2 linked regions of the Alligator mississippiensis genome follow. The protein of the gene in region 1 interacts with the protein of each later gene in a pairwise test. Links are inferred from orthologs where the notes say so. Each region holds a gene or a part of one and is shown on either strand. Other genes may lie near its edges. The genes, in order: RAB11B and RAB11FIP2.

Region 1 (16,670 bases):
GCCATGTGCTCAGCCCTATCGCAGGGCTGGATCAGACCCCGTGTGGCCCCAGTACCAGCAGCAGGAAGGGGAAGGATGCAGTGCACCCTGTGGATGCTGCCCCACCGGGACCAGACTCTGGCTTGCCGAGGGAAGGCCTGGCCCAGCAGCATAGAGGAGCCCCCCAGGTCAGGGCCACAGCAGCATGAATGTAGCAGGAGGCTCAGGGAGCCTGTCATCTAGCCTGGGCCCCGCTGCTGCGGTGGGCCTGGGAGTCTCGCTGCTGTTGCAGGAAGGCCCTGTGCAACCCCCGGGGGGTCCCAGCACCTCCCTCCCTCTCCTTGGGATCTGGCCACAGGTGAGGTCCACAGCCACAACCCCTGCCCATGGGAGCGAGGGGAAGCTGCAGCTCCTCAGCTGGGCAGTACCCCCTAGCAAGTCAGCCACATTTGCCACCCCTAGCCCACAGCTCTACGCCAGCAGTGTAGGGCATGCACAGCACTGGGCACACAGTGAAAGTGGCTGGGGCCACGGCCATCCTGCTAGATGTCACTAAACTAGGCATGTGCTATCAGTTAACCATTTAATTAAAGGAAGTTAAAGGGATAGGTTTAAAAAAAAAAAAAAAAGATATTTACATCCCTAATGGAAACCAATAATATAAACATTCATGGTTTGAAGGCAACCCATCAAGGCAGCAAAAGAGTAAGAATTTTTTGGGATTTCAGATTTACCTCACGGGAGGAAAAAAAAGAAAAGAAAGAAAGAAGCTACTTTTGCTTTGTTGGAATGAGGCTGTTTTAAAAGTTCTTCTTTGTTTCCATCTAGATCTTAAATAAGTCTTTAAGTCTTTCCATCAAGACTTAAAACTATTCCCTTTTTTATGATGCAGGCAGATTAGGGGTGTGGCTTTAAACCTGAGATCTTTTTTCAAGCAACACTACCAATAGCAGAAATGGTGCTAGCAACCTGAAAAGAAAGAAAGAAAGAAAAAAAATGTGGTGCAAAGTAGTGCTTACGCTGAGGTGATGGCACGGTATCGTTCCTGCCCTGCAGTGTCCCAGATCTGTGCTTTTATCGTCTTCCCATCCACCTGGATGCTCCTGGTGGCAAATTCCACCCCAATGGTGCTCTTACTCTCCAGGTTGAACTCATTGCGTGTGAAACGTGATAGGAGATTACTCTTCCCAACCCCAGAGTCTCCAATCAACACAACTGAAAACAAACAAACAAAAAACCCACTGTTTCCAAATTCTTACATTAAGATTTATTGAGGGAGTTACCTACGCAATCTCTCATAGCAGGAGAAGAAGTTTATCACGTGAAGCATCAAAAAAACCCCTTAAACCAAGGAAATGCCCACCGTCTGTATCAGTGGTGGCTTCTGAGCCAGAGCCGTTAACATTGGTACTGCGCCCCCATTGCCAAATTCCAACACCCGTTGACAGCCCTGCAGGCTGGATGACAGCCTGGTGTGCCACATTACTACAGTGCAAGCGTTTGTCCCATAGCTAGGTCCAGCACACATGAGTCTCTCCACAAACAGATCCAGCCCCACACTACTCATCCAATCCCCAGGACCAGAAGGCTGAGCAACACTGATCTGTACAAATCAGTTTTTCTTTTGTTACAAGAGTCCTTAAAGTAAATGATTATTTGCAATCTCATTAGCGCATCACGCAATACATGTTTCATTCTAATAACATTCCTGATCCGTAGGGACAAAGGAAATTCACATAAAGGTCAGTAATACAAAAAGGAGTCCATACAATCAAACGTTTGCCTTTATGAACAGGATCCGAAATAGACCCGCTTTCCTCTTTAGAAGTTAATCGGAAAAGACAGTTTCTAGTAGGCTTTACTGTTAATTGTGAAAGACTGGGAGAAACCCCTGACTCTACAGAACAATGTGCCAAACAAACAGAGAAATGACATAAGTAGCACTGAAGATATATTTACCACAGTCCACAAGTTTTATCAGTTTTGCTAAAGAAAATTACAGCATGAAAAAAAAAAAATGTATTGGCACAAAGACTTCTAGTACACATGCAACTTTACAATAACGGAGATTATCCAAGGTAATCATGCTAGCAGCATCCTGGATCAAACCAAAGGGAACAACAAGCACTCTCAGTGAATGGTTTTTAACTCTGGAATGCACTTCCTGTTCACTTCAGCACAGATCTGTTGATCTTCCTACCTTATTATAAGACCTGTTTTTACAGACATTTCCTGAAGGCAAGCATGGATGAGCTGCAGGTGGGGGGCAGCACTGGTTTTAGAGAAATCCAGGGCATGAAGCACTCAGTTTGTAAGAATGTACTCCCAGTCCACAGGATGGATGTTTGTTGGGTAACCTATTTATTTCTCACATTCCTGTGTTTTGGTATTAAATCATAAGTTTTACATGGGGATCAAAAACTGGTCTGAGGAGCACATGCACCAACTCCCTTCATGGCCTGTTTCATATCTTGGGATCCCACAGAGACCATATTAGCAAATTAACACAGTTGTTTTGGAGACAGAATAATAAGCCTGTTCCTGAAGTTAATCTATGCTCAGACAATAAACGACTCCGAAGTCTGAGACCAGAAGGCAAGTCAAAGCAGAAAATAATTATGTTATATACTCACTTCGGCTCATTCCACGCAAAAGAAAGGCAGCTGTATGCTGGATAAACCAAATTACTCATTGGGCACTTGGTTCAAGCTAAAGCAGAAAGAAATGCAATAGTCCAGTCTAGAAGTGGACTACTTTTACCATGTGACTTCATAGGTTACTCTTGGGAGGTCCTCATTCAAGAGATAATGGAAACCAGCTTTTCTCTGGCAGTGGGAGATGCAGTTACTGACACCAAACTGACAAAAAGATAAGTTTCAGATACTGCATCAGACTGCTCCAGTACAAAACACTGAAACCTGGCTAGTCAAAATCCAAAAGGCCTACCAACAAATAGCCTGGCCATATGAACGCACATTCCAATAGCAGGGCTGGAAAGGCGATACATGATACTTGAAAAAAGAAAAAAGAATCCAAGTATCTGGATAAGAAAATCCATTTTTTCCTTATAGTTTTGCAATTAATATTTCAATGCTTTTTTTCCCAGTTGCACTAATTTGAACACAATAAACAATTACTAGAGCAAGTTTCCAGTGCGAACTTTTAGAAATATACCCAACTTTAACAAAAAATGAACACAAGGCTGCCAAATTTGTGATGGATGATATAAAGTGTTTTTTATTATTAATAAGCCTACCTTTATTACAGAAACTTAAATTCCAATTAGATTGGTCTATGCAATTTAATAAAAGCTGGAAGCAAAAAGCATACCAAACAACCAATAGTTTCTTGACAGTCAGCACTTCTTGGCTTATACAATTTGAATATTTTGTAAACATTTTTTCTGCTAACAAACACTTTTCTTGTAAGGAAAAAATAAATTTGAAGTTTGCAGCTTGATGACTACAGTATGTTACCTCAGGGACTTTTAGGGGCTATTATAAAATATTAAAGACAATATAATCAGCTCTAAAAAGACCGACCTCAAAATATTTTTTGCGCCATTTATAACTCAAAGCAAAAGGCTATTTTTTTTAAACTGTCCACAGTCCCCAACACCCCCAATTCATTAGAAGCCAGAGTCAATTTTTTCAGCTTTGCATATTAACAAGTTTCAAGAATGACCCTTACTTGCAGTTTTAATTATTCCCTTCCTCCTGATGCAGACTCCAGCTTGTTCTTCTATTGCAGGGCTGTCCAACTTCTAAACAGCCAGGGGCCAAATGTTCCATGGATCATACACCTGTGGGCTGCAGCGCAGTGCCACCTGCTACGCCATAAATGGCCAGGCCAGTTGCCTCCCTTCCCCACACCACATACATGCACCCACTCCCACTGTTACACTGTGCACCTGCCACTTCCAGCTCAGCTTCCAGGGCTCCCGTGCACTGTGCTGCACTGCTGCAACCCTGGGGCACGGCCAGGCAGCACAAGCCAGAAGACCCTGTGGCAGCTGGAGCAATGGGGAAAGCAACAGCTGGGCAGGAGCCCAGTTGGACAGCTGTGTCCTACAGCTGGCTGTGCTAGGCAGTGCTGACTGTGGATAACATTGTTTTGGTAAATAAAAAACCCAAAGAGATCTGACTGTGAAGATGCTCAGACAGGGAAGCTGGTAGCAAGGACATGAACTTAAAAAATAATTTAAAAAAAAAGGGGGGGGGGGGGCGCTAGACAACCTCACTTATAATCTTAATGCAGGGCTGTCCCACTTCTGTGGCTGGGGGCCACAGCCCCCCTGCACCTCTCCCTACGGCACCGTGTGCTCAAGCAGCTCTTTGCGCTACACTATGCACCTAGGTAGGTGGTACACCCCTCCAAGTATGCAGCACCCCACACCACCTGGCCAGTTCACCAGCCACAGGCTGCACCTACTACGCTATGCTTCCCCCTGAGAATCCGGAAGGAAATGCCATGCCCTTGGCTGTTGTGGCCAGGGTGATGGGGAGAAGGGCAACCAAATGGAAGCCTGAAGGCAACAGATTAACCTCTCACATGCTGCACATGGCCTTTGGGCTGACAATTTGGCAGCCCTTCCCCCAAGCATGATATAAACTTAAAATTAGCTAATAAAGTCCGTTTTGTAGAGTATAAGACGACCTTTATGTCGCTATCTCTTCTACATTCCTACCAAAGACAACCACTGCCATATATATAAGATGACCACTGACTCGAGTCTTGTCTTCCACGTAAGGAACCTAAAAACTGCTGTGTAGCAACAGACCACATAGAACTTCCTCATCTATTTGATTCTTCGTATACATATTTCTTTAGCAGATACCGCTCACTACACAAAAAGTCTACTTTACATGTAGCAACATGCAAACAATCCCTTCTTGACATGCTACTCTCCCAACGCCATCTTTTTTAGACTATGTAGCTGCTAGAACAGAGATAGAGAACTCATAAAGCTGCAAAAGGAGTCAGAAGCCAAACAAAAAAAAATATCACTTGACCATTTTTTCAGTGCACCCCTTGCTATTTAGTGCTGGCAGGAAGAAAAGAAGGAAGATGGTTTTGTCCATCACCATATTACTGCCAGAAACAGACCATGCAGAATCCCCAGTTGTTCTCATATAATTACAACCAGCTACATGATTCGTGAGATCCCCAAAGTCCTGCTGCTGGAAAGGAGAAAGTTTTAACTCCACGACGAGGAGATATAAAGCAAACTTTCCCATGTTATTATTTAAGCACTAACCTGGCATATGGGAGACAGCCCCCCACTTCTAAGTCTCCAATTCATCTAGATAAGACAAGGTTTCTCCCCCCACACCTTTCATTTATGCCAACTATGGCAAATACTTAGTAGTACAAATAAAGAAATAATGATCCCTGCCCAAGGAGTTTAATATCAGATCTCAATTTAGATTTTAAAACGTTACTTTTTACAGTGAGACAAGGATTTCTTAAAGTAATATCTTTTATTGGACTAACTGTATAGTTGCCTCTTGCTTAATTCCTGGACGATCGCAGGTATAACATCACTAACACTACCATAAGATTTTATAGTGTCATGGTTCTTTAGAAAGAGCTAGTATGTGCATACATACATATACACACATGCACGCATGCATGCAATTTTTATATAAAAGTAACTTGTTTAATCATTCCTGAAAGGAAAAGCATTATAAAAAATATCAGACTTTTAAGTTTCAGGACACTAAATTAGTCGGAAGGTTAATAGTGGATAGTTGATCTAGACAGGATTTAGTACCACAACCTGGCAGCTTCACACTGAAATCAGCTACATGTAATTTAAGGGAGGTGGGGAAGAAAAAACATTTTTTCAATAATCAGCTACTCTTAGGACTGGAGAGTTTGCTCTCATTGGGCTCCTATACGTATGCAAGGAGCTGGCTCCGATGTGCTGGAAATCCTGGATTAATCGAGTCTGCTGGAGAGCAGAAATTACCACGCTTCAGCAGACTAGCATCATGTGCATGTGTCTCCATGCTGAAAAATGGTGGTGGAGTGCTTTTAGCTCAAAGTGCCCTGCCGCCATTTTTCAGCGTGGAGGATGCTGACGTGTGATGCTTGGGCACTTCTAATTAGGATGGGGGGGGAAGATGGGGCTGCTTTAATCAGCATGTGTAAAAATGTCCATGGATACTAAACATGAAAGCAGCAGCAGCAGGGGTGGAGGTTTCAAATTTTAGGACATCTATTGTTTCTCACCCATGGGTTGTTTATCATTGATTGTAGGCCGTCCTGAACCCAAGTGGGGCAGAAAACAAACCTAAATAATAAATACATTATAAAATGAGTAGGCCATGCAGGACAGTATATCTGAAGTGAATATCGAAGTAGGAGACACAGTGAAGTATTCATTTTGGAAAAACAACTGCTCATTCCTATTACCGACAGCCAAATTCACACGCATAATCCTAACCGCAGCCGTTCTCTTGAGTAACTGCAGCGAACGGCACATGGAGATGCTGTCACCACTCGCCTTATTTTGCTAGAACAGTGAATGCTACTGAGGACACGGCACTGCTGACCATCAGCATTTCCGTCTCACAGGAAGCTCCTGTTCGCCGTGCTAAACAACATGGAGCGCGCAAAGCCAAAGACTAGGGCTCCTACCACTGTACAGCTAGTGCTGGGGAGTTTGCCAAGCGGGTTATTTTAAGGAAAAAGCGTGATAAAAAAAAAGATTCTTTAGAACTTCAGAGCATCCACCTCAAATGCTTTCTGGACCTCAGACAGGATGACCGTCAGTCTCTAAAAAAGAATAAAGCCAACACTATAAATGACTACAGGCATCAGAAAATAAATTAACTCCACATTAAAAATATCTATCATTAAAAAGGCAATTCCAGTTTATCACTGTCCGACGGTGGGAACGCTGCAAGTGTACGTGGACGGGGGCACGGAAATAACTCCTGGAAGCCCAAGGTAAGGTCGGCAAGGGTTTTTTTCTATGCTAAACCTCATTTTTAGCGACTGTCTTTGGTTTAACCACTTTGGCAGAAAGTCCCACACTTAGCCCAAGGTCACTTTCTGCACCATCGGGACAAGTGCCGAAATGCGGCTTTTGAATTCACTCACTACTGAAACGTGCATTTGTTTCCTTAAAACCGCGTCCCTTTGCTGGGACGAGGGCGACCCTGGCAGCGAGTGCCGCGCTCCTCTTCTCTCTCCTCCCAGCCCTCGGAGAGGAGCTTCTTCCGCAGCAACTCGCAGGCGGTTTTCCTCCGAAGTTGTTGGGAAAAAGCCCCGGGGAGGCAGGAGGAGGCGGGAGCTGGGGACACTCGGGCAGGCCCAGGTGCGGGAAGCAGGGCTGCGCCGGGGGCTGCCCGCTCGCTGCTCCCGGCCGCACGTCGGGGGCAGCGCGGACAGCGACGCGCGCATCTCACGGCCAGGCCCGCGAGCCCTGCCCCTGCCCAGGCCGGAGCCGCCGCGGACAAGGTCAGTGCCGCCCCCCGGGGCAGGGCCCGGCCCACGTCAGGGCGGCGGCGGCGCGGGGCCCGGGGGTGGCGGTGGGGCGGGCTCGCTGCCAGGCCCCTTCCTCCCCGCCCCGCCGGCCGGGCCGCGCTACCTTTGAAGAGGTAGTCGTACTCGTCGTCCCGGGTGCCCATGGCGATGGCGGCGGCCCCGCTCCTCGGCTGCCAGGCACCGACGCGGGCCGAGCGCTGCGTGGGGTGGGGGGGGGGCGCTGCTGCCGCAGCCTATCAGCAGTCGCCAAGGCCCCCGGCGGGGCGGGCCCGGGGCGGTGCCCGCCGCCACTGCCCAATGGGAGACCGGGAGAGGCTGACTGACAAGCGGAGCAACCTATGAGCCGCGAGCGGGGGTAGGGGCGGGGCCTGGCCGCGCGGGGCAGGCTGCGGCGGGGATGTCAGCGGGGGCCGCCCCGCCCCGCCCCGCTCCGAGTAGCGGGCCCAGGAGCCCGGCGTAGGCCTGAGGCCGCCTCACTCGCCCCGAGGGCCTAGGCCCGGCTCAGCCCTGCTTGTCCCCGCACCCCAGCTCTGGCTGCGCCTGGGGCCTGCTCCGCGCCAGGCTGCGGCGCCGGCCGGGAGCGGGGCCAGGCTCTTGTTGCTGGCTGGGGCCGCGGGTGCAGGGGGTTTCTTTAAAGAAAGGAGGCGCGTGGCGGGGCTCACTTCCCAGCTCGGGCATCGCCACGCTGCCTTCAGTCAGTCGAGATGTCCGGGTTGTGTCGAGGGGGGCTGAGCTCGCAGGACGAGCCTGCTGCCTCCGCCCTGGTGCTCGGGTCTGGGGTCCAAAGGGGAGCAGAGCACGCGTCACGCCCGGGCTCTCGTTTCTGCGGCTCGGATGGGAGCGCGCCACCATCCTCCGCACACGGCGGCGAAGGAGCGGGGGTTCAAACTCCTTCCAGCCGCCTGTTATCGCTCTCTCTTCTCTCTTTTCGTTTCTCAACCTAGTTTCCTATTAGGGCCGTGCCAAACGAGTCAAAACCGCGTTGAAATGAAGCTGCCAGCAAAATTTTGCACAGCCCTGTTTCCCATCCCACTCCTATTTTCCGTCCAGGGATTGACCATATCCAGTCCCTATGCAACTTGCTTACACAGAGACAGTAATAACCAGGTTACCGTAGGGAATGTGTTCAGTTTTATTATACTACCTGGGTCAGACTGGAATATGGAGAGAGGTGTCTCTGACCTTGCGGGAGTAGTTAGTAATACTGGGTAATTCGGGGACACTGGAACTAGGCTGATATAGACAGGATAACAAATGTTACTGGTAGTGGTCGGGCACGGTATTTGGGGTAAGACGGCCAATACTTTTCTTGTTGAATGGTCATGCAACGAACAAGAGTCAATACTATTTTAGAGTTGATTTTTATTAAATAATAACCACCTTACAGAGGGTCACTTCTTGATTCAAGATGATTTTCCAGTAATTATGAGCTGTTCTGTGTAAACTGCAAGATAACCAAAATAGGTCTGCAACTGGGGTTTGGATTTCAGAAGAGCAAACTTTGAGCAACCAAGGAAATGAGTTCAAGGGACCAGTTGGATTCAGAGTTCAGGGGATTTAAATGCAGATGAGCCATGCGAATCAAAACCACAAGTACTATCTGGAAAATGTGGATAGGAAAATGTTACAGGCCAAACTGGACAAACTAGCACATTATCCAGGCATTAAGATATACAAGGAATGGATAAACAAGATTGATCAGTAAGGAGAGAGGTCTTTCCCAGGTCAGAAAGTGCAGAAAGGAAGTGATAATGCCCAAAGGCCTACATGAGTTCAAACTTGCAAAGAAAATCAAAAAATAGCAAAAGGTCTGTCAGTCATATAAATGAAAAAGAACTAGGAAGGAAACCTTTTATACCCTGACAATAGGATAGAGATAAAGGACAATCTAGATATGTCCTGAGGACTGAATGAACACTCGGTCTTCAATATGGATGAGGAAGCAAGTGAAGATAGTGGTAAAGTACAAGATGGGGATGAGGAATTGGTAATTAAAACTACCACACGTGATATGAATGCAAGACTTAGCTTGCTTCTTGTGAGGAAATATGGTACAACCAAATATTCTCCACCCCAGCATGCTGAAAGAATGGCACGTGAAAAAGCAATTTCTGTGGCACTGATCTGTCAGTTCAGGTGTAGTACCCTGTTACTGGAGAATAGCAACGATAGTGACTTTATTCAAGAAAGGTGAAAAAAATGGTCCCAGGTAATTACAGGCCCATTAGTATGACTTTAGTATTATGCATGATTTTAGAACAGATTGAAGGAAAAAATAGAGATATGGAGGTAAAAGAAAATAAGACAAGATGCGATATAATTTTATCCAAAAGCAGAGGTGGATCCAGGAGTGTGCAATAGTGCAGTCATCTCCTTTTAATTCTTGACTCACCCATACTTGAAAACCAATTGCTTGGCAAGGGCAGCGGCATTTCTATTAAGGGAGTGCTGAGAGAGTCAATTGACTTCATGACTCCTAAGTCCTCTGATTCCTGCTGATATTTGTCCACTCTGCAAGTGTTAAGGACCCGCTATCCTTTGTAATGGACTTGATGTTCCTCTATTCAACCTATCCTTTCTTCTGCAATTTTGCTGTCTATTAGCCATTCCTGAGTATGCCTCATATTTTTCACAGCCCTGCAGATTGCTTGTACCGCTAGTTAAACACTCAGGTTAAATCTGGTGTGGTAATATTAACTCGGGTGTAGAAATGACTAACAGTGAAGTATAGGAGGCACTGTCAAGATGCTCAGGAAGACTAGATTTTGTTTTGTGAATTTTAATAAAATATGCACATTTAACTATAATGACTACAGGACTAACGACACAATATCTTAGTAAAGCTTCTAGTTTCTCTCTAACTGGAGAAAAATAGGTTGTATTGTATGTGATGATGTAACATACCATCTGCAGCGCTAGGATTTTCAAAATCCTAGATCTGCCCATGTCCAAAGGAGTTCATGTCAGAACAATAACTTAGAGAAGGGTAATACAGTGGACCTAATTTACCTAAATCAGGGGTCTGAAGCTCACCTTGTGCCCTGGACTACAGGGCTCCTTGTAGGCTAGATCTAGCTCAAGGCACACTGGGCACCTATATGCATGCAATGAGTCTGCTCTGACTCACTGAAATTACAGTGTATTGGAGCAGACTTGATTGAGTCTGCTGGAGTGTGGTAATTACCATGCTCCAGTAGCCTCCAGTGTCGCGTGTATCAGTGTTTGATGAGCTTTACTTAAAGCACCCCACTGCCATTTTGAAGTGCAGGGATGCTGATACATGAGATGCTCCAAATGCTTTAATTTAGAGCAGCTTTTGGACTCACTCTATTTAAAGTGCCCTTTCCACACGCCAGGAATATGTTCATAAATGCCCTGGATGCCTGTGTTAGGGCCAGCAGTAATGAATCCAGAATGGGGCAAAGAGTGATGATGAATCCAGCACAGGGCTGCAGAGGCAATAAGGCAGTGGCGATTGCAGATGACACCAAGCTGAGCAGAGTAGTAGATAGGCTGGAAGGTAGGGCTAGGATTCAGAGTGACCTAGACAAATTGGATTGGGCCAAAAGAAATCTCATGAGGTTCAACAAGGACAAGTGCAAAGTCCTGCACTTAGGATGGAACAATCCCATGCACCAGTACAGGCTGGGGGGCTGACTGGCTGGGCAGCAGCTCTGCAGAAAAGGACCTGGTAGTTGCAGTGGACAATAAGCTGAATATGAGCCAGCAGTGTGCCCTTGTTGCCAAGAAGGCTAATGGCATACTGGGCTGCATTGGTAGGTGTGTTGCCAGCAAGTCAAGGGAAGTGATTGTTCAGCACTGGTAAAGCCACATCTGGAGTACTCTGTTCAGTTTTGGGCTCCCACTACAGAAAGGATGTGGACAAATTGGAGGGAGTCTAGCAGAAGGCAACAAAAATGGTTCAGGGGCTGCAAAAACTGGACTTGCTTAGTCTGCAGAAGAGAAGACTGACGGGTGATTTGATAGCAGCCTTCAAATGCCTGGAGGGGGGTTCAAAAGAGGATGGAGCTGGACTGCTCTCAGTGGTAGCAGATGACAGAACAAGGAGCAGTGGTCTCAAGTTGTAGCAAGGGAAGTTTAGGTTAAATAATAGGAAAAATTATCTCACTGGAAGAATAGTAAAACACTGGGACAGGTTACCCAGAGAGGTTGTGGACTTTCTATCCTTGGAGGTTTTTAAGACCCATGTAGAAGGCTGGATTGATCTAGTTGGGGATGGTCCTTTGAGCAGGGGGTTGGCCTAGATGATCTCCTGAGGGCCTTTCCAACCCTGATTTTCTATGATTTCTCTGATGGGCCAAGGAGCCAGAGGGACATATCCACTGGGGATCTCAAATTCTGCCCCAGGACATGACACCTAATGGGGACTAGACGATCCACAACATTCTCTAGTCTCCTTCCCCAGCCCTGTAGGCTAGATGAAACTGCTTGCTCTGTGAGCCAACTCTGGCCCAGAATCTGGATATTTAACACCCCTGATCTAGATTTAAGCAAGCAATTGGTATTGTGCCTCTCTGAAAAATCATAAAATCACAAGGTAGAAAAGGAGTAGCTAAAAGATAGCCTGTGGTTGATTATGTTAAAAATGGAGATTTCAGACTGGAATGGGGTTGCTAATGGCATTCTTCAGGCATCGGTTCTGGGGCCTGTTCTGTTTAACATTTTTGTTAGTGACCTTGGTGCAAGATCTAAGTACACACTCATGAAATTTGTGGCTGATATTTTTTTTCTGGTATTGAAAAATTCAGAGGAATGTAAGAATGTGAAAAGTTCGGTCCTGGGTCAGACCAATGGTCTGTCTAGCCCAGCTTTCTACCTCCAATATGGTGCTGTCTATGGGGAACCTGGGTAACTATGAGGCTGTCTACCTTTCTCTCATCTGTGCATGTCTCCTGGCAGAGTTTCATTGAGCAGAGTCTAGAGGCTGCTTAGATGCATTCGAGGGGCAGCAGGCACTAGCCTGCTCAGTGTCCCCCCTTTCCCTCCCTTTTGGGACCCTAATTATTAACTTTTGACTTGCACTCCTGTTCTTGTTCTTTCATCTGTTGTCCCCACTATTCAGTTTGTACAGGGTTAGAGGTCCCCCTCTAACTGCTTATAGTTTCCTGGTGGGCTTAGGCCCAACATTTGCATGTAGTAAATACTTCCAGTAGCGGCAGCAAAAGATGCTTTACAGAGAGAGTAGGTGCAGAATCACACCCAAATCTAGCATAATCCTTCCCTCGTCATATCATCCCTGGCATCATCTATCATGGGTTTGGGGATGTCAGATGATCCCGGATTGCTTTATGCAATACCTATTAATGGACCTGTCTTGCATAAATCTGTCTAATCCTTTTTTAACCCTAGTTATACTATCTGCCTCTGCAACCTTCTGTGGCAACAACTTCCACAAGTTACGTGTGCAGTGTAAGGACGTACTTCCTCTTGTGTGTTTTAAACATTTCTCGTGTTTATTTCAGTGCCCCCTAGTCCATATAATCTGGGGCTTTGTGAATAATAATTCCCTAGTCACTTTATTGACACTCTCCACGATTTTATAGACCTTTATCATAACCCTACTCAGCCTGCTCCTTTCCAAAACAAGGGGCCCTAGCTTTTTTAGTCACTCCTGGTATGGCAGCTGCTCCATACCTCTGCTCATTGTTGTTTCCATTCTCTCTATCTTCTCTATGCAATTTCTGTGCTGGAGATGTCTGGCGATCTCATGCTGCAGGGCTTATGCTGATTGCCTCTAGGAGCCAGGAAGATTTTTTTCCCTTATGAATGCTTTACTTGACCTCTGTTTCTGTTGCTGTTTTTCCTGGACTTCCTCTGAAGCACTTCCTATGCATTTTAAGGGATAACTTCATTTGCATTTGAGTGATTTACTACATAGGGCTGGGTGTCACGTGCCTGGCCCACTTTATTACAGTAAAGTCAGTTTACTAGGTAGTAAACATGTTTTGAATCAGCACCCTTAGTGAAGACTATGACTTCCCTCTCCTCTTCCTCCTGATTTACCAGAAAACCCTGATTGGTTGTTTATTAAATAGCTTTTTCAGGTTGTTTTGTATATTAGAAATAAACAGATCTTATTTATCTTTATTCTACTGAAGGTTTTTCTGATAGGTTGAAGAATTAGGAGGGGGTTTTATATCACTGGAAATTGAGGGTTAATAAACTGATGGAGAAGAGTTTTTTTGATTGGATTTGTTTTTGTCATTTCTTTGGGACAGGTGGCTTAGTGTTTTAGATGCTAATCTGTGGAAGACTTGGGTGTGGTTCTGCTCTGTCATGAGCTTCTGGTCTTATTGTTGGCAAGTCGCTTAGGCCCAGATCCTCAAAAAGATTTTAGATGCAAACATTGCACTGATTTTATCTGGGCCCCAAATTACTTTTGACGGACTGGGTCTTAGGTTCACTGTTGTTCACGTTCCCATCTGTCCAATGGTGACATCAGTGCTTGCGTTGTGAGGTTCTCAGCTAAAGTTTCGAGGACCCAAGATATACAGGCATTATGGTGGTACTCAATGAGTATTGTTCTGTGTGTTAAGTACAAGGCACAAAACTAAAAACACCAAGAACACCTTGCAGCATATCAAACAAAATCAGGATGGAAGAGGACACACCAGTGCCCTGCAACTACAATGACAAGGAAGCAGTATATGCTCAAAGGATAATCCTCTACCCTGCTGAAGAGTACTCACATACGATGTTGTCCAGCTACTGAGGACCAATTGTCTAGCTGTTGGATGAGGGTTTGCTACCATGACACTTTGACAGAGAAATCCCTATTGATCCTGGCCACTTGTATTAGTTCCCATGCCAAATGCCTCACTAACCCAGACATGCACAGTAAGCATACCATGTCATGTCAGGCACCTTTCAACAATTCAGAGCTAGGCAAGGTTTCCTTGCTTTCCTTCTGAGTCTCCTTGTCAGCTTTCAGAGATCATTAAAGAACTGATGTGTTTTCTGCCCCTGACCACTCTTGATAGTTGTGCACCAATATTCACCACTAGCAGCAAAATAACAGCATGGGCCACTGCCACAGAGTTCCCCACTGCTACCCTGATAGAAAGTGACTGTTAGGAGCCTCTTGTTGGCACAGAAGTGCTGACGGGGGCCATTGGGCTAGCCATGTCTGTGTGCCTCCTGATTAGCTAAAAAAAGCAGCAGAGCCCTTACTAAAGCCCACTTGAAGCAATGACCTTCATGCTGTTCAGTTCACCTGCTTCAGAATGGCCTTGCTCCAGACGGTTTGATTCCTGACCTCTGACCTTAGTTCTTACCATTTCTGAGAAGAGGAACAGTTGAGGTAGCTGGATTTTGATACCCTACCTGCACCTGCTAAGGATCCTTCAGAGCCAGGTGACCCTACAGGCCCCTGTCCTGCTACTAGAGAATCAGAGTAAGAGTAAAAAATTGAGGGGCTGTGATTTTAAAGTGAGCTGCTGAGAGGCCAGAAGGGGTGAGTTTGGGGACATAAGCCCAGCACCGTCAGCAAAGAGGGTGAGTCTGGCCCACACAGAGTTGGAGGCAGGAACTCCCTGGTGCCGACTGGTGGAAGCAGCACTGGGAACTGGGATTGCTAGGTAGGCCCAGAAGGAAGAGCTATGGCAAAGAAACCCACAGCAGTTTGGGGTGGAAATGGGAGCCAGGGAAAAAACACCCTGACTGGATTGGGAGCAGGGTGGCCTAGCACACTGGGACTGATTGAAGGCAGGGCAGCCAAACCCACTGGGACCACTGGGAATGAGAGGTGGTATGAATTATAAGCATCAAGAGGGAGAGACAATAACCAGCCTGGGTGCTCATCCACACCTGACTCCAGCTGTTGTATTCTGGTCTACTCAAACAGCCAAACTGGGGAGAATATGCCCCAAATGGCTGCTGATTGGAGCCAGGAAGCCCATGGGACCAAAGGGGACTGGGCAAAGGTGACCCAGAGCTATGTATAAAGAGAGGAACTCTCCTACAGGACTGAGGGCTTGCTACCTTAATTTCAATACCATAAGAGACATGTAGGCACTTCAGATGAGGGGAGGGTAAGGGAGCTAGGACTGACTGCTAGAGGGCAGGCAACTACATTGAGAGGCCCCTGGACAGTTACCCCAGCCCTCAAAACGGAGCAGAGTTGTGGCATAACTACCTTTCTCCCCACCCAAAGACAGAGCCCCATTGACAATCAAGTGTGTAGTCACCTGTGCAGCAGACATCTCATGTAGATGCAACCTTTCAGTATAATTTTACAACTGATTATACACTCACCTTACATCAGTTTTCTCTAAACTGTATTTCCTTAGTGTACTAAGAGGATATCACACAGGATGTTAGTGTTTGGACTAAAATCCATCTAGGCCATATCAAAATGTTTCTCCCCTGTTCACAAGGGTCTGTTACCCTGTCCAGCATGACTTGCTCTTCACAAATCCGTGTTAGTTATTATTTACTTGTTATATCCCAGGTTTTAACCCAATTAAGGGTTGTCCAATTTCTAAGTGGCCTGGGGCCAAATACATTAAACACTCCATGCATGCGCCACAGCCTGAGCTGTTCTGGACCAGGAGCAGGGGCCAAGGGACCTGCTGAGGGCTGGGTAGACTCATGCTATGGGCTAGATCTGGTCCACAGGTCATATTTTGCCCACCCCTGGGTTACATCTATTGCCAGCAGTTCTACAGAACTTTTGGGTGAATGCCATTCAGTTCCAGTAACTTACTGGTATTTAATGTATTAATTTGTTCTAAAACTTCCTTTGTTGTCACTTCAATGTGGTCCAACTCTTCAGACCCATCTACTAGAAAGGATTGATCTACCGTGGGAATTTCCCTGGTATCTTCTACAGTAAACACCAACTCTGATCTGTGTATGGACATTGGCTCCAGGCTTCCCAAATACTTTTTGCCAGCCTGTGCATCTCTGAGCCTGAGACTCTCACCTTTCCAAGTCCATCTTTTCTTGACTGTTCACTAGTCCCTGGCTCAAGCTACCTTTCCCCTCTGCCCTCTCTTGCTGGACTTTGGGGCTGTATATTTTGTTATATCACTTACTATCACTAGAGGGAGCTCTTTTATCTTTCATTTGCATTGAGATGATTAAAAATCAAAATTCAGTGATCTCTGGTGAAATGTATGAGCTGGAGATTCAAAAGAAATTCTGATTCACAGCAGGATTCAGCTCCCTCTTTCCTC
Region 2 (16,663 bases), on another chromosome or scaffold:
TGTCTATCTCCAGCAGACGTGATTAATCAGTTTGCAGATTAATCGAGTCTGCTCCGATGCACCGGATTTCCAGAGCAGGCTTGACACACGTGTGTAGGAGCCCTGAAGAACTCACCAGAAACGAGTTCAGGTGGAAATACAAACCAAAACACCTCTCACCCTTGCAAAACAACTGATGCTTACCTGGGTTTGCTCCTCCACCCCTGAGGTCTATGTCAGTGTTCAGGCCAGTGGAGCCTGAACCTGCACACTTTACTCAAGCAAAATGTCCATTAACTTCAATGGAATTTTTTGCCTGAGTAATAACTGCAAGATCAGACCTTTTTTAGTATTAACCCCCCCACCCCCCCACACACACATATTTAACTTTTATGGTCATTACAAAGCTATTTTGGTTACCTTGGAGACTGGATATTACGTTTTAGTTATAATGAAACTTCCATATGCTCTAGCTCAAACAAGAGAATATGAGAAGTAAACTCAACTGATATTTTTTTTATTCAGAGTGAAATATATAATTTTTACAATGATGAGAGTCAATGTAAAGTAATAAGTCTTGTGAGAAGCTGAATGTGAACAAGCAATAATACTGAGACTATGAATGTTTCTCATTAGATCCTGTTCCTATAGTATAAAAGGGGAAGGAGCAGAAAAACTGCACTGTATCCAAGAGAAAGAGCTGGAAAATAAAGAATGCTGCTTTTTGAAAACGCTATATTGATCTTCAAATACTAAATTCCATTACCCTACTGCAAATTTTTAAATGATAACGTATTAGGAAACACTATTAAACTTGTTGTTTTGGTTTTGTTTACAGCACTTTCAACCACAGTAAATGTTGCAATTGTCAGACTGCCATGAACTGACTCCATAGAAAGCTTACACAAGGTAGGAAAAGAGCCAACAATCTACATAAACAAAAGGGGCATTTTTATGAGAGCAGTTGCCCTTCTATTTAACAATTATATTACATTCTTTTTAAAAATAGATTTAACATAAAGCCTGGCAAATTTTCTCAACTTCAAAGGCAGACCCCTCACCTTCTAAATCCAATCCAAAACTCCTTGCATTCTTTGGAGAAAGATGTCCTTTCCTACCTCCTCCTATTTTTCCCCTCTTCTTCCTTTCCTTTCATACCTCCATCAGAACAGCCCTTGTTATCTTTTCATCTCCATTTCTTAAGATTTTCCCCTCGAGTTTCTGACCATTTGAAAGGTGTCAGTTATTTCTCTAATGCACACTCCAGCAACCAGCACATTGTGTACAAAACGCAGCAATAGTGAAACAGCAATTCAAACCTTAACCTAATGCATCACGGATCTACAAGTGCATTTGTGCTTTCGACAGGATTCTCAAACTGCTCCTTTCTCTCTCTCTCCCCCCTTTCTTTGATTGCACATTTCTCTAATTCTGTTGTGTTTTCCAACTCGTTTTGCGTGCTCAATTCTAATTCCCTCGCACACAACCTCTTTTGCTAGACTTTATCTCTATTCCGCTCTTGGTGGCAGGTCCCATTACTGCCTCTGTGCTTCCTTCTGTCTTTATCTCTCTCTTCCAAGCCACAGGACTGTTTAGTTCCAACTATGAGTCCTGTTCTCTGGTGGAAGGAGTTTAACTGAAAATACTCTGTTTGCTATTCGAATAAAGCTATGGGTAGAGGAAATCCCTGTGGAAATTTGGTTACACATCAAGGCTAATACCATTCCCAGAAGAGGCAATGAGAGCATTTCTACTAAAGATGGATTGGGTCCTTGTTGACCAGCATGCTCACCATGTGGCTGAAAGTGAAATTTGGTCTTCTGTATCAGTTTCTTATTACTACCAGACCTGAATAGGAGTGGGGAGGTTTGTCCCATGAGCACACTACTTCGTAAAATCTCTCTCTACCTCCTCTCTACCAGTGAAATAGTTAAAGATTTCAGTTCGTTTTACTTTGTTTTTAAGGACAAAATTTAAAGGAGTTTAAAAACTGGAGTCTAAAATCAGGTGCATGAATCCTGAGTTTGATTTTAAATATGCAAGCTGATTTGCAAAAGTGAGCTTAACACCAAAATACAATAACCGTAGTCCCTGTGGTTCCAAAGCTTTTGATTCTACATAATAATCTAGAAATTTAAAACAAAAAGCGTACCAGTGTGTTAGACCACTTTTATAAGTATACACCGAGGACAAAAAAGGAGAGTGTTGTACATCACTAAGTATATTAAATAGAAGGGAAAATGGATTATTAAAATTAGATTTATGATGAAATTTTGAGAAATGAATGCCATTATTTCTGGACGCAAATTCAATGTGTGGAATACTACTATGTAGAATTTAAAAATAAATTATACAACAGCAGTATCGCACCATTACAAAAGCCATATTAATAGAGACAAACCAGAATGTTTGACTCTGGATTTAACACCAGCCAGAATCTAAAAACCTGATTTGCCCTTAATTTACACTACTACTTATTTTGGTTCAAGACTGCACAAGTAGACTTGCTGTAGAACTAAAATAACTAAAAGTGCAAACAGAGACCAACATAATCATTTCAGGTTGAATTTCTATGCACACCAGCCCCTAACATGTCACTGAAATTGAAGACTGGATAGAATCCAATCCAGATAACTCTGGTTATAAATGTGAGGATTGAGTCTCTACAGATGTGGCAGGAATTACCTTTGCTTCGCCTAAAAAGAGAATATGTTCCCATTCATTGTTCAAGTTTTCATTCTGGGGATACTACTGGATGATCAAAGTTATTGCTTCTAAGACAGTCCGGCCCCCACCTCCCCACTCTTCACCCCATCACAATATTATGATTGTTACCTCTTGCAGCCAAAGTGTTATGTAATGTCAAAGGGGTTAAACTTGGTAAAAATTGTTGTGTTTTATTTTTTTCACTTTTTAAAAACAGAAAAGGCACCAACCACAAAAAAATTCTGAGAAGCTGAACAGAAAGCTCAGGGCAACCATTCACAGTGATATGCACTGGTAATTAGTTTCAGGGTTGAATTTAAGGTTGCTTTTGGAAGATACCTCTTTCAGAAATTGCCTCTTTCCCATGTCATCCAGACACAACTACAGTCAAGACCCCATAGCCTAACTCCCCCCAGGATAAAAGTAAGGTGTCTGTTCAAAGGGACGTTCACCAAAAGCAGTTATTAACCTTGGGAGAACCACTGGTTTGAAACAGCCTTCTTCTATCGATAAAAGAATTAGGCCCCACCACAAGAACTTTTACAAAGGCTACTAAGGACACGCGAGCCCAATAAAATGACAACCTTTTGCACAACAGGATATATTGACTGGGTTTGATTTCATCTTTAAATACTCTATTGGTTTCAAATAAGCAAAATCTACCAGTGACTCTCTCATCTGACTATTTTATATCAATGGCACAGGCTTGGGATACATACTTTTTTAAAACTATGAATCTAAATAATTTTTTTCAAGTGTCAAGCAAAGATTTGTTGCTGGTTAGGTCACAAAAAGGAAATAAAGCATCAATCATCCTCAAAACTGCAGTGAGAAACAGAGAAGCCCAAGTTATAACAATTCAGATAAATGTTGCATTTTGAAGTATAACTCTGTGTAATAAATTAATTCTCCAGGAAAAGCAGTAAAGGAATTGGTAATAAACGGCATGGAGGTAGATGGTGACAAGAAAGAAGAAGTTGCTAACGGAACAAGTAACATCAAAAGCAAAACTGAGTCAAAATTTATTCTTAGACAGCTCTATCAATTCGGCACACAAGAATAAGAACTAAATGCAAACATTTTTAAAAGTTACTACTGTACAAAAATATGGCAACATCAAATTATCAGCATTTATGTCATGCTTTGTTGGGTGCCAAAAGCTTTTGGGCAGAAGTGACCTATAGATAAACAGAAGCATTGATAAGAACTTACACCTGGCTTTAAAATTTTATTGTATATAGGAATGGAAAAAAGAAACAAAATTACCAGTTGCTAAAATAGCTCCTTTAATATGGATAGCAGAAATCTTAATGAGAAGTCCTATTCCAAAGATGTCTTCTAAATAAATCTGAGCATTTTTCAATACTGTGAGAATATTAAAATATAAAAACAACAACTTTGCATATGAAGCCTGGACAATGCAGTGGATCAATATTCTAGGTTTTCACCTGTGGAGATGTGGATTCAAAATGAACACGTAAAAGGAGTTGATGATCATATTAGAGGTCCCAAAGGACCAATACACAAATCATCACGCTGCCACTACACGACTGGCACTCTCTTACCAAGGAAGTGCTAAAATAACAGTACTGCAGGTGCATTGGCTGAGGTGTCTGAAATAAAGTTGGAAAGTGACTGAGTCATATTTGGATCCAGCCACTCCTATAACTAACACTTTCATGAGTTTGAAAAATCATCAGTTGCGGAAAGAAAGAGAAAATACACTGTGTGATATTATGTAAGATTTTTTCCATCAAATTATGTTGCTTTATTTTCTTAAGTCTAGAGCCAGAATGATGCACAAGCCCTATCGCTATGCCTCTGCTTGAAAACTTTATTGCTTGGAGTATTTTGAAAAACTTGCATGTTTTTCCTAAGGTGTCACAGGCAGCACATAAAAAAAACCTTAATGAAAAAAGCCCATTTTTCCTATCATAATGTGTTTTTGAAGCTGAAGAGAATCTGTAAACATACTTCTGTCTAATAAAATAGGACCTGCATGTCACATACCCTGCCGTTTTCCTAGGAATTCAAAATCAGCTGGTAGCCTTCACTTCTCATACCTATTTTCTAAAAAGCACTGGGGAATTGCTGACAAGGTTCAGCATTGTGCAGAATATTAAATATCTTTTTTGTAATACTCTAGTGACTCTTGAGTCTGTCTGTTGCAGCACCATATGTACAGCTGTGTTGGAAAGAGGAAGCTATTAAATATATTAAAAAGTAGAAATATTACCAATAGACACTTCATCAAATAACTGGATCTCATTTATCCCCAAACAAAGCAAGAAATGTTAAGGTTACATCAACACAAGAAAAATCACTCTGGATGTAATAATACCACAAGCCTGTTGAACATATTTGAAAGCAGAAACATTGTTTAATAAAACAGATTAGTGTTTCTGAAACAAAGAAAATAGCGTTTAGGTATGAGGTTTCTACGCAGCTAAGAACAATGGACCTGATATTGAGACACTAGGCAGCTTTGGTTCCCACTGGCATAACTGGAATTGAAGTTCATGTCTGAAAATACCATACCCACGTCAAGTGGCAATTACAAAGTTAACAGAATATTATATGAAGATAGGCATTTAATAAAAGGAAAGTCAAGAAAGAAAAGAATGTAAACAACACTCATTTTATTTGAAAGGCTAAATTCATATTATACACACACACATCTACATACCTCTCACACACACATGCACAGATCTGTCCTCTTTGAAACATGCATAGATCTCCAAATCAGGAGTAACAGGAAACAGCATTAACATGTATGCACACATTCAGAGTAAAATTTTCAAAAGCACATATGTTCATAAGAAGCATAAGTCCTATTCCAAAAAATGGTTTATTGCCAGATGTTTCAATGCAGTTGAAACACCTGAAGATGCAGAGAGGTATACAGTGGGATTTTCAAAAACACCTAAATACCTTTTCCCACGGATTTCAAATGGGAGTTAGATGCCTAGGGGCTACTGAAAAATACACCCAGGAGTCTATCTGGCCCTTGGGCACCTAAAAGCCAAAGTCTCAGTGATTTTTAAAGAGCTGAGCCTCCTAGGTACCTAAGTGACTTGGAAAATGGGGCAATAATTTATCCCATAGACCCAGTCTTAAAATGGGTAAATAGCAGTGGACTCTGGTACTCTTGTGGAACTGCTCTGACTTCAGTGAGGCTCTGCAGGACTGCAGTAGGCCACTCACGTGCTATGAAATGCAGTACAAGGGTCTCTCCATCAGACTTTGACAGTAAGAGCTCTAAGATATAGGGGATATGGAAACTTGTGACAGCCACAAATACACAAAAAAGAAACAGTGAAAAAGACCTAAAGTTTAATTCAGTTATCATAAAAACCCTGTTAATTACCTCAGTTTGTGAAGTCAAGACAGTGAGACAAGGAACAATTTTTGTTATAGTTTATGTTAAAAAAAAAAAAAGAGTACATTCAATCTATAAAGTTACACCTTGCTTTTGCAAATTTCCTTTCCTGTGCCTTTGTGACAAGGTATTTAGCATAACTCAGATTCATTGGCATCAGACAGACCATGCTACGGGCAGCCTCAAACTTGAGACCTCTGGGCTGTTAACCGTGCACCTTAGTACCCATGCCACCCTAACACACTCCTACCATTGATTCATTGGAGTAGAAAGCATGCAAGCAGGCCCAGAGTTTCAAAACCATATTTTTAACTTAAAGCAGTAATTTTCAACCAGGGTGCCAGGGCACCTTGGGGTGCAGCAAGATCTTTTGAAGGATGCCGCAAGGAGAAAAGCAGGTGTGAGAAGGTAAGTGCAGGCTCAGGTTCGTCCCCATCTAACCAGGTTTTGAAATGGGATGCTGCTCAATTCTGAAGTTATGGAGGGGTGCCTTGAGTCGAACAAGGCATTCCTCTCGTCTAAAAATGTAGAAACTAGTGACTTAGAGCTTTAACTATATTGTGTTTGGGGCCAGTACAGTTAAAACAATACGTCTCTAATGTAGACAGCTACTCTGCTATAAAGCTCTGCATACGTATACAAGTTTTTAACATAAATGCACAGGAATAACCTATGCTGGTACCTTTATGCCAATGTAACTGTGGCCACATTAGGGGCCATAACAGTTAATTAGTAAAAAAGGGGAAAAAAAAGACACAGAGCCCTAACAGCACAATTTAAATTAGTATTACAAAACAAAGATCTGAGTGTTGATCAGTCTTTACATTGCTGTGCTTGATTAAGCACCCTTACTGCACAAAATGCTATTTATAAACCTAAAAGAGCCATTATTTCCATTTGGCATTCAGAATTTGTTAAGGGAAAAAAAAAAATCACAATTTGATTTAACAAAACTCATGGAAGTTCCTGCTAGAGCAGAAACTTCTCTACCAGTTACTCTGCATGGGCCTGCAGCATAAAGTAGCAAGCAAGATTAAGGCCCAAGATCTACTGAGCATCAGAAAAGTACGAGGCTACCACGGCAAGCTTGAACCAGAGTTCAAAGACGACCAAATGAATAAGCTTGGACAAACTAGAATCACGCTGTTTGCAACAGATGTTAATATGGACACTATATGAGTTTGAACATGATGGAGTTTAAACACGTGACAGAGTTTGAACAAACCCAATACAGACGTTATATTAGGCAAAGTGATGCTACACACATGATGGAGTTTGAACGAATCCAATACAGACACTATATTAGGCAGTGATGTGACACGCATGATGGAGCTTGCCTAATATAATGCCCGTACTAGATTTATTCAAAGTGATGCGACACACATGATGGAGTTTGAACGAATCCAATACGGACATTATATTAGGCAAAGTGATGCTACACACGACAAAGTTTGAACGAATCCAATACGGACACTACATTAGGCAAAGTGATGCAACACGCATGATGGAGCTTGCCTAATATAATGCCCGTACTAGATTTATTCAAAGTGATGTGACACACATGACGGAGTTTGAACGAATCCAAAACGGAGACTATATTAGGCAAAGTGATGTGACACACATGACAGAGTTTGAACGAATCCAATACGGACATTATATTAGGCAAAGTGATGCTACACACGACAAAGTTTGAACGAATCCAATACAGACACTATATTAGGCAAAGTGATGTGACATGCATGATGGAGCTTGCCTAATATAATGCCTGTACTAGATTTATTCAAAGTGATGCTACACACATGATGGAGTTTGAACTAACCCAATACGGACACTATATTACGCCAAGTAATGCTACACACGACAAAGTTTGAACGAATCCAAAACAGACACTGTATTAGGCAAAGTGATGCGACACACGTGATGGAGCTTGCCGAATATAACGCCTGTACTAGATTTATTCAAATTGATGTGACCCACATGATGCAGTTTGAACGAATCCAAAACAGAGACTATATTAGGCAAAGTGATGCGACACACGACAAAGTTTGAACGAATCCAATACGGATATTATATTAGGCAAAGCGATGCGACACGCATGACGGAGTTTGAACGAATCCGAGTTGCGACCCCGGTTCAAACTTTGCCGCCCACCTTGATAACAGCGGCACTATTCAGAAGCAAGAGAAAAATTAAAAACATAACATTCACAGCGTATATTAAAAATAACATTTTTTTTTTAAAGGACGGAGATGTCCGAAAGCCCCGCTGACTTCGGGGCAGCTACGCCCGCACCCGGGTCCCGCCGGCAGGACAGCGCGTTATGCACCTGCTCGGTTTAATTTGGGGCACGGAGCCGGATCAACGCGAGCCAGCCCAACAAGACGAAAAGGGCACTTACTCCGTTTTCCTCCGTTGCTTGTCCTCAAAGATTGCGTTCAAATTGATAGCCACCTGCCCCAAAAACTTGTCCAGCCCCACCAGCGACCTGTGCATGACCACCAGGCAGAGGATGTACTTCTCGGGGCTGCCTTGCACCAGTAATCCCGGCAGCTCAAACGAGGCCTCTTCTTTCCACACCGGATCCAGCGTCTTCTCGGCCACCGAGGTGGAGTACTTCTCCTTGCCCAGCTGGATGATGGTGTACGTGTCGTTGGTGCCGTTCTTGCCTTTGGGCTTCAGGGCTTTGGCTTGCAGCACCGTGACCTGCACGTGGGTGGGGAACCACCGCTGGGCTTGCTCGGACAGCATCCTCTCGGCCGGCGCGGGGCGGGGGGCAAATACAAACCGGCGCGGGGGGCTTTAAACCCGGGGCCCCGGAGCAGACGAGGAGCCGCTGCTCATACCCTGAGGGGGGGTTCTCCCAAATCAGCAGCCGCGGGGATGATGTGCAGAGGCCTCCGCCCGCCCGCCCGCCGGGGCCGGCGCTTCACCGCGCCGCACCGCGCCGCCACTTCCGCCTTCCCAGTCCCTCAGGCCGCCGCGCCGGGCAGGGGCAGGGGGCAGGGGGCAGAGGGCAGGGGGCGGGGCTGCGGGCAGGGGGCGGGGCGAGCGCGGACGCACGTGGCAGGGGGCGCCCCGCGCTCGCGGGCTGCGGAGACCGCCTGGGAGGGGGAGGTGACAGCCAAGGCAAGGGGAAAATTCCCCCCACAGTGTGGGATCTTCACCCCTTGGGGGGGAACAAGGTGGCAGCCGGGCTCTTGGGTCATCTTTTATGAGGGTCGAGAACTTGAACAGCCGCGCTGCCCCGTCTGTAGGGGGCGTCGTAGAGGACATGGGCAACGTGTTGGGGTCTGCGCGTGCACCCCCTGCGGAAAGGCGCCGTCTGCGGTGGTCACCGAGTGCCGGGGGCACGCGGCGGCCGTGTCCCGGTGTGCGGCACGGGTACCACCGGGAGGGTGGCCATCGTGGTTTTCTGCTATTCTGGCCTCTTGATACGAAACTGGATGCCTTGATGTTTGATGAAGAGAAGAATAGAGATGGCTCTTTTTCTTGAAGAGAACAATAGAGGAAATAAAGGCGTCCGGGTTCGTATCAATGGAGGATACGTCCGCTATCGATACACATGAAGGCATCCAGTTTTGTATCGATAGAAGATATGTCTGCTATCGATACACGTAAAAGCGTCTGGTTTCCTATCAATAGAGGATATGCCTGTTATCGATACATGTAAAGGTGTCTGGTTTCCTATCAATAGAGGATATGCCTGTTATCGATACATGTAAAGGTGTCTGGTTTCCTATCAATAGAGGATACGTCTGCTATCGATAAACGTAAAAGCGTTTGGTTTCCTATCAATAGAGGATACGTCTGCTATCGATAAACGTAAAAGCGTCTGGTTTCCTATCAATAGAGGATACGTCTGCTATCGATAAACGTAAAAGCGTTTGGTTTCCTATCAATAGAGGATACGTCTGCTATCGATAAACTTAAAAGCGTCTGGTTTCCTATCAATAGAGGATACGTCTGCTATCAATACATGTAAAGGCATCTGGTTTCCTATCAATAGAGGATACGTCTGCTATCGATACATGTAAAGGCGCCCGGTTTCATATCAATAGAGGATACATCTGCTATCGATACATGTAAAGGCGTCTGGTTTCGTATCAATAGAGGATATATCCTCTATTGATACACATAAATGCGTCCAGTTTCATATCAATAGAGGAAACGTCCACTATCGATGCACACAAAGACTTCTAGTTTTGTATCAATAGAGGATCCATCTGCTACCGATGCACATAAAGGTGCCTGGTTTCGTATCAATAGAGGATCCGTCCACTATTGATACACATCAAGGTATCTGGTTTTGTATCAATAGAGGACAGAGGGCAACCGGACTGTTCTCTGATGACCACCCTAAACCAGTCGTACGCAGGCCACTGGTCAGGTAACAGATTTATTAGAATTACTTTATATGATAAATATTTGCAGCTGGTACTTAAGGTTGAACTGAAAAATTTGCTGGTGGTACATAAGGTTGTGTTGTTTTAAATTTGCAGCATGCCATCTGTCAGAGTTTGGGAACAGCTGCTTTGGACCAACATGGCTACAACCAAAAATCCAGCAGCACGGGTTAAACAAGACACTGAACATGTTCCCCCAGTTTGCCCCCGTTCGCATCCTTCAGCAGCTCCTGTTGTGAAACTTTCCCCCCCACCCAGTCACTGCACTTCTGTATTAAAAGGCCATATCAAGGCTCAGGCAGCTAGTTTTTTTTTGTCTGCTCTTTGTTTTTTTGCAAATATATAGATAGATCTAAATATAGATCTATCTCTATATATAGAAATAGAGATAGATATCTAGATAGAGATAGATACATATATAACTCCACCTCCAACGCTCTCCCAGGTGGCCCTTGTGGTTGACTTGGCAGCTCAAAGCACACTAAAAACCTGTTACACAGTTCACACCGTGCAACCGCACACCCATGTACCCATCTGCATACCCATACCCCCACCACCCACTACCCTGCTAAGAGGGTCTACTCCTGTAAAAGTCTATGCCAGACCCCTTTCCACCAGTTGAGGTCTGCCATTTCTTTCCCATCATCCTCTTCTGTCTTCCTGTAGTACCAGTATGTTTCACTTAGTCAGTCCCATTTTAAAACAGTCTTCGACGGTGGGGTCTGAGTGTCTGTTTAGGAATGGGTCCTGGCTGTCCACAGGCTCATGCAGCTAATCTGAGGGTCTGAGCCACCCCAAACTTGTCACTCCTTTCTGCTGCTTTAAAGGAAGTTTTCCAAATCATTTCCATCTTGTGATTAAGGGTTTTGCAATGTTAGTTTAGAGAAACGCCATTTCTTAAGGGTTTTTTTAATTTTTTTTTTTTTTTTTGCATGTCATCCTGGCTTGATAACTTTCATTTTAAATAAAAAAATAATTTAAAACATAACGTGTTTTAAAGGATCTCTGGAAGCTTGGGAGAGGGTGTAGACTAATGCACAGTATTAACTGTTATTCTATAAAAAAAATGACACATTTAATGTTGCAGTACTGCACATTCCACCAAAGAAACCACAACAAGCAAGGGAATCAGCAGCTAAGTCATTTGATGCTTTGTCCACATTTTAGTCATCAGTTCCTCTTTGTAACCTTAGCTTCATTTCTTACGCCCACAGCTTCTGCATTGTCACAGTTATCTCAAAAAAGTTCCAGGAGCCCTCAAGCTTTGACTGTGGGCTGGTGATTTGTTCATGTATTTTGCTGATTAATATAGCGGCAGTGTGACTTTCATCAGTTACAATGGATGTAGCTTTGTGTTGGTATGTGCTTTGAAATGGTGTCAGACTGCAAATTGTTTTCCTAGTAAGGTTGAGAAAACTTACCTGAATGAATGATCTGTATTAAAAGATTGTTACACATTCAGCATTTTATGCATAAACTATCATTGTAAGTTTGCATGTGTGCTTGCACGGACATACTATGGTTATGGTCAGAGTTAAGGTTGTACATTCATCGTGCAGGATGGGCAACCAGTTCTCAAATATGTCCTTAGACCGACACGGCTACAACCTACACCCCATTTCTCAAATAAGCACACATGCATATCCCTTGCCTCTTTCATATCCCTTCCAGCTTCCTCAATTTTCTTGCCCCAGATGTGTGTGAATATCTGGGGCTTGGGAGGGGGGAATAGTGAGAGCATAGCATCATGGAAGGATGAATGGCCATGACTGAGGAAGGGAGAGTTAGCCAGGATCTTTATAAAAAGTGGGAATGATAGATAATTTTTGGAAGCATTATAGGGACTTGACAATGGTGTTTTGCAGAAGGCTTGGCTTAGTGAGGCAGTTCACTGGAAACCTTGATTATATCTTTAGCAAGGAACATATAGTTGGCTTATTCCTTAAAATTAATTTTACCATATACAAATTCTGTTTAAAGGACACATTCTACATTGCATTACTTCTGAAACAAGCATGAAGAACACCTTCTCCAACCATAACTACAGGGGATTTTTAGATCGACTATATTTACTCATTTGACATTTAAGGTAGACATCAGGAATTGCTTGCTATCTCTTGGGGAAAGTGCCACGAACATTTTTAACATATAGTTAAAACCTTTGTTTTTCCCTGCTCTTTTGTAGTTTTCCCATCCTCAATCCCCCATGGTATGCTATCACTTCTCACTATACTGATGTATCTAATGTAAACTGTTATGTCCCGTGAATAAGAAGCAACATAGAAAGAGCCCATGGAAATTATTGTGCATTAGACTGGCACATCTCTACCTTCTCAAACCTGTAGCAGAATATTAGTCTTGCTTCCCAACACCTCCAGCACCTCACCTGAGGTTATACCTGTTCCACATTTTTGTTTTCCAGTTTCCGACTTATATGATGTGGTTGGGAAGTTATTGGCTATACAACCCCTACTTCTTCCATGTCTACACCCAAAGAAACTGGTGAATCTGCACACACATCTTATTCCTTCTTACACCTGTTTATGGTCAGGTTACAATTGTGCCCTTTGATTGTGTCCTCTTTGGAATAGGGGTCTTACTGTACAATATAGGTTATTATAAGACCTCTCCCCTCAGAATGCCATCTCCAGCAAGTGTGCCTCCTTGCACTAGGTTGGATCATTAATCTAAGTGTGATTCCCACTCCTGTTTTCTAAATTACCAACAGGATGTGATCAAAATCTACATGTCACAGTTTCTCTTGTTGCTGTCTGTGATGATTTCATGCATATATGTATGTATGTGAACATTTTGTTGTGTGTGCACCACTTTGGTTGCGAGGCAATACAAGGGCATTCCCTATAGCCTCCCCTGCCCCCTCCTTGAGACCTGTGTTGTTGACACAGGGCAAACAATGCAGAATGAGGCAAGGTCATTAATATGGAATAACTTTGCCCTAGCAATACAATGGGAATGTTAATGAGAATGGCTAAACTACAAGAAACCAGTTTTTCCAGTTTGGACTTCTAGTGAGTAGTAATCAAGGAACAGATCACCTAATGGGGTCTTTGATGCTAGCTAGAAACTCACATGACTGACTGGACTGAAAGTCTCAAATGTTAAAATCTGTTCTTACATAACCAAAATCCAAAGCGATCTTGGAATGGTGAGGCCAGTAGAGAGGGATTTTATGTACAGTTTATTTTTTTGCATGGATTTTCTCTAAAACTCAAAAGATTTCCAGTGTGTATGCATGCATTTATGTTAACTTTCCAAAGTCTGCAATTCCTGTTGCAACTGTTGTAACTGTTTCGTAAGGTTCAAAGTGTAAGCAGGAGTGTCAATGAAGGGAAGGTATAATTATGCTGTGGAAGAGTCATGATTCAGGACTGGTGCTGAGGCCTAGGTCGACTGGCCTGTAGGTTCAGACTTCTAAGAGGGTACTATAGACAGAGACTGCACTCTGGATGTGAGCCTTAGAGGACAGAACCAGAGACATTGCCTCTGAATTCTGGTCACCCTTTTTAAAAAAAGATGAACTCAAGCTGAAACAGGTACTGAGAAGGACTCCTCTGATCAGAGAAATGAAGAGTCTGTCATATGAGAGGCAATTTAAAAAGCATGGTTTTCTTATCCTAGCAAAAAGAAAGCGAAAATAGGATTGCTCCCTCTAAATCAGGAGTTCAAACATACGGCTCACAGACCATATCCAACCTTTCAAACTCCACCATCCAGTCCCCAGTGCTGTTCCTGGGTCTGATCAGACCCACACAGGGCATGGTGTACACCTGTGGTGAGGGGCCGGTCTGCAGCCTAGATTGGGCTCGTGGACCTCCTCCCCTTCCTCCATCCTACCTGATTTGGAGTGGCTGGAATGGACACCAAGTGTGGCACAGTCCAACCAAAGCAGTAGCCATGGTTGGTTACCCTGGCTGGACCATGCTACATGTGGCACCTACTCTAGGACATGTGCTGCATGTGGTGCTCACAAACACTACATGCAAGGATCCTACACTGGTTGGAGCAGGGACCATGTGCAGTGCAGTCCTGGACCTGCCAGGGCAGGAGCCACACATAGTGCTGTTCAGCTGGGGTGGCCACTGTGTCCAGTGTGGTGCCCACTTCAGCTGGACTGTGCTACACGTGGTGCCCATTCCAGCCACTGCAGGATCTGCGCCCCATGTGGGGCAGGTTCCAATCCAGCCAGAGTGGCTGCTGGAGCAGGTATTCTAGGAGAAGAGGGAATTCATGGGTCCAATCCAGCCCACAGACCAGGCCCCTGCCACTCATTCTGCCTACAGGGCCAGATGAGTATAATACCCCTGCTCTAAACGCATTATGCAGTGAACACCAGGAAAGAACATTTTAACCTATTAGGACAATTTTAATCTAACAGGACAATATAAGCACATTAACTAAAAGTGTGTAAATTGATTGTAAATGAATTAAGGCTAAACATTAGAAAAATTAGAATAAGAAATTAGAATAATTTGTGCAATTAGGTTCTAGAATAGCCTTCCAATTCAGAGAAATGGGTCAAAGACTTAAATCTTCTTAAAATGGAACTAGATGAGCTTAAGAAAAGGATCTCATGTTCAACCTTATTATATGACACCATGATTGCAACAACAGATTGGGTCTGATGACTCAGGAAGTCCCTTCCAGTCTTATGTTTCTAACTCATCCTACCCCCAGAAAGGCATGAGCATGTTGGACCCAAGGTCTAAGTCCAGTGCAGCAACCTGGTAAGTGTGCACCAGGGCTACAATAGTGCCATGGGTGATGGAGGGCAGGGATAGGGTTGGTTAGTCAGAGTTGTAACATTCTCATCTGAAAACAGTTGACTGAATAGCTCACTAACAATGAGTGTCACACTAATATTTACAGAAGGCAATTATCAGCCTCAAATTTGAGTATTCATTACAGAAACAGAATTTCCAATGTGAGTTTTTGCAACCGTTACCAAGATTTATGACTATCCAATCAGGAAGCAGAAACATACTGAATGACATACATGTTTGGTCAACCAATGCTTGCCAACTATAAAATGTTGAAAACAAACAGGTTACGAGCGCTCTGCCAGACAAGAATTATTCATCGGAATTATGTGGCAAATAATTCCAAATAATGAATACATTTCCAAAATAGCACGAAGTTCTCAATTTACAAACACAAGAAATGGAAAAATTAGCTCATCGGATAAATTATTTGCTATATTTTATTCACTTACATCTACCAGTACAGGCAACCATGGTGATCGTCTTCAGCAAGTAACAGTTCTGCATGAAATGGAAAATGAAATCAGAGAATGGAATTGTATCAGAGGCGCATACGGCAGAAAAAGAGATCATTGCAAAGGCAGCCAAAATGTCAAGCCTTATGTTTAATCAGATGCATTGTTGGCTGACTTGTTGAGAGTTGAGAGGGTATTTCAAATTAATGGAAATGACAGAAATCTACTGTAATTCTTGGAATCTCCCCCTCCCCCCCCCCCTTTTTTTTCATATTGATTTCTTGGGCCAAGCAAACAGAAGAATGAGTAAGAGAGAGGGATAGCACACATGAGGATTAATTCTATATTAAACACTACATAGCTGCCCGTTATTTTGTGATAAACAACTATTAATCTTTTTCATCTACATCCATTAACTCTGATGACATAGACCCAAGCTTTTAACTCTCCAGTATTTTTGTTGGGCTCAGAGCTCAAAAGACAGATATGGCACTAGTCTGCAAAACACAATCCACTTGGGAGCAATGTTGTGATAACAAGACTGAATGTACTCTGGGCCTCTTCCTGCACCATGCCATGTGGCCTTTGAGAGAGAACTGCAGAGAGGAACCAGCCCAAGCCTGCAGCTGGTAGAAATATAAGCACCAAATCAGGGACCTCTGGGCACGCAGAGGACTTCCTACAGTTCTGCCTGGATTTTCTCTCTTTGCACTGCTTGGCTCTTTGCTTCAAATATCCCCCTCTCTCCAGCTCCACATCTGCTGCTCCCGGCCCTATCCTCCTATCTTTCCCCCTCTCTTTCCATTTAGCTTATATCCACTCCTAAACAAACCCACCCTAACTATAAAAAAGTTGTGGAACTAACATGTGAGATTTACTGTCATCTCATCGTTCACCTGGATTGTGTGTTATGCCCTTCTCCTCACAATGAGCCTACCTTGTCTACTGAGACTGTAAGCTTTG

The links.
Region 2: the proteins of RAB11B (region 1) and RAB11FIP2 interact in binary tests that used the Homo sapiens proteins (3 or more experiments, as listed by UniProt). The link is inferred for Alligator mississippiensis from reciprocal best matches to the Homo sapiens genes RAB11B and RAB11FIP2.

Annotation. Positions count from the first base shown.
Region 1 is NC_081839.1:10,091,762-10,108,431, reverse strand, and holds the start of RAB11B (ras-related protein Rab-11B), read right to left. Parts: upstream 7,687-16,670; 5' UTR 7,617-7,686; coding exon 7,577-7,616; intron 1,195-7,576; coding exon 999-1,194; intron 1-998. UniProt on the Homo sapiens protein: The small GTPases Rab are key regulators of intracellular membrane trafficking, from the formation of transport vesicles to their fusion with membranes.
Region 2 is NC_081829.1:88,730,526-88,747,188, reverse strand, and holds the start of RAB11FIP2 (rab11 family-interacting protein 2), read right to left. Parts: upstream 9,042-16,663; 5' UTR 8,813-9,041; coding exon 8,463-8,812; intron 1-8,462. UniProt on the Homo sapiens protein: A Rab11 effector binding preferentially phosphatidylinositol 3,4,5-trisphosphate (PtdInsP3) and phosphatidic acid (PA) and acting in the regulation of the transport of vesicles from the endosomal recycling compartment (ERC) to the plasma membrane.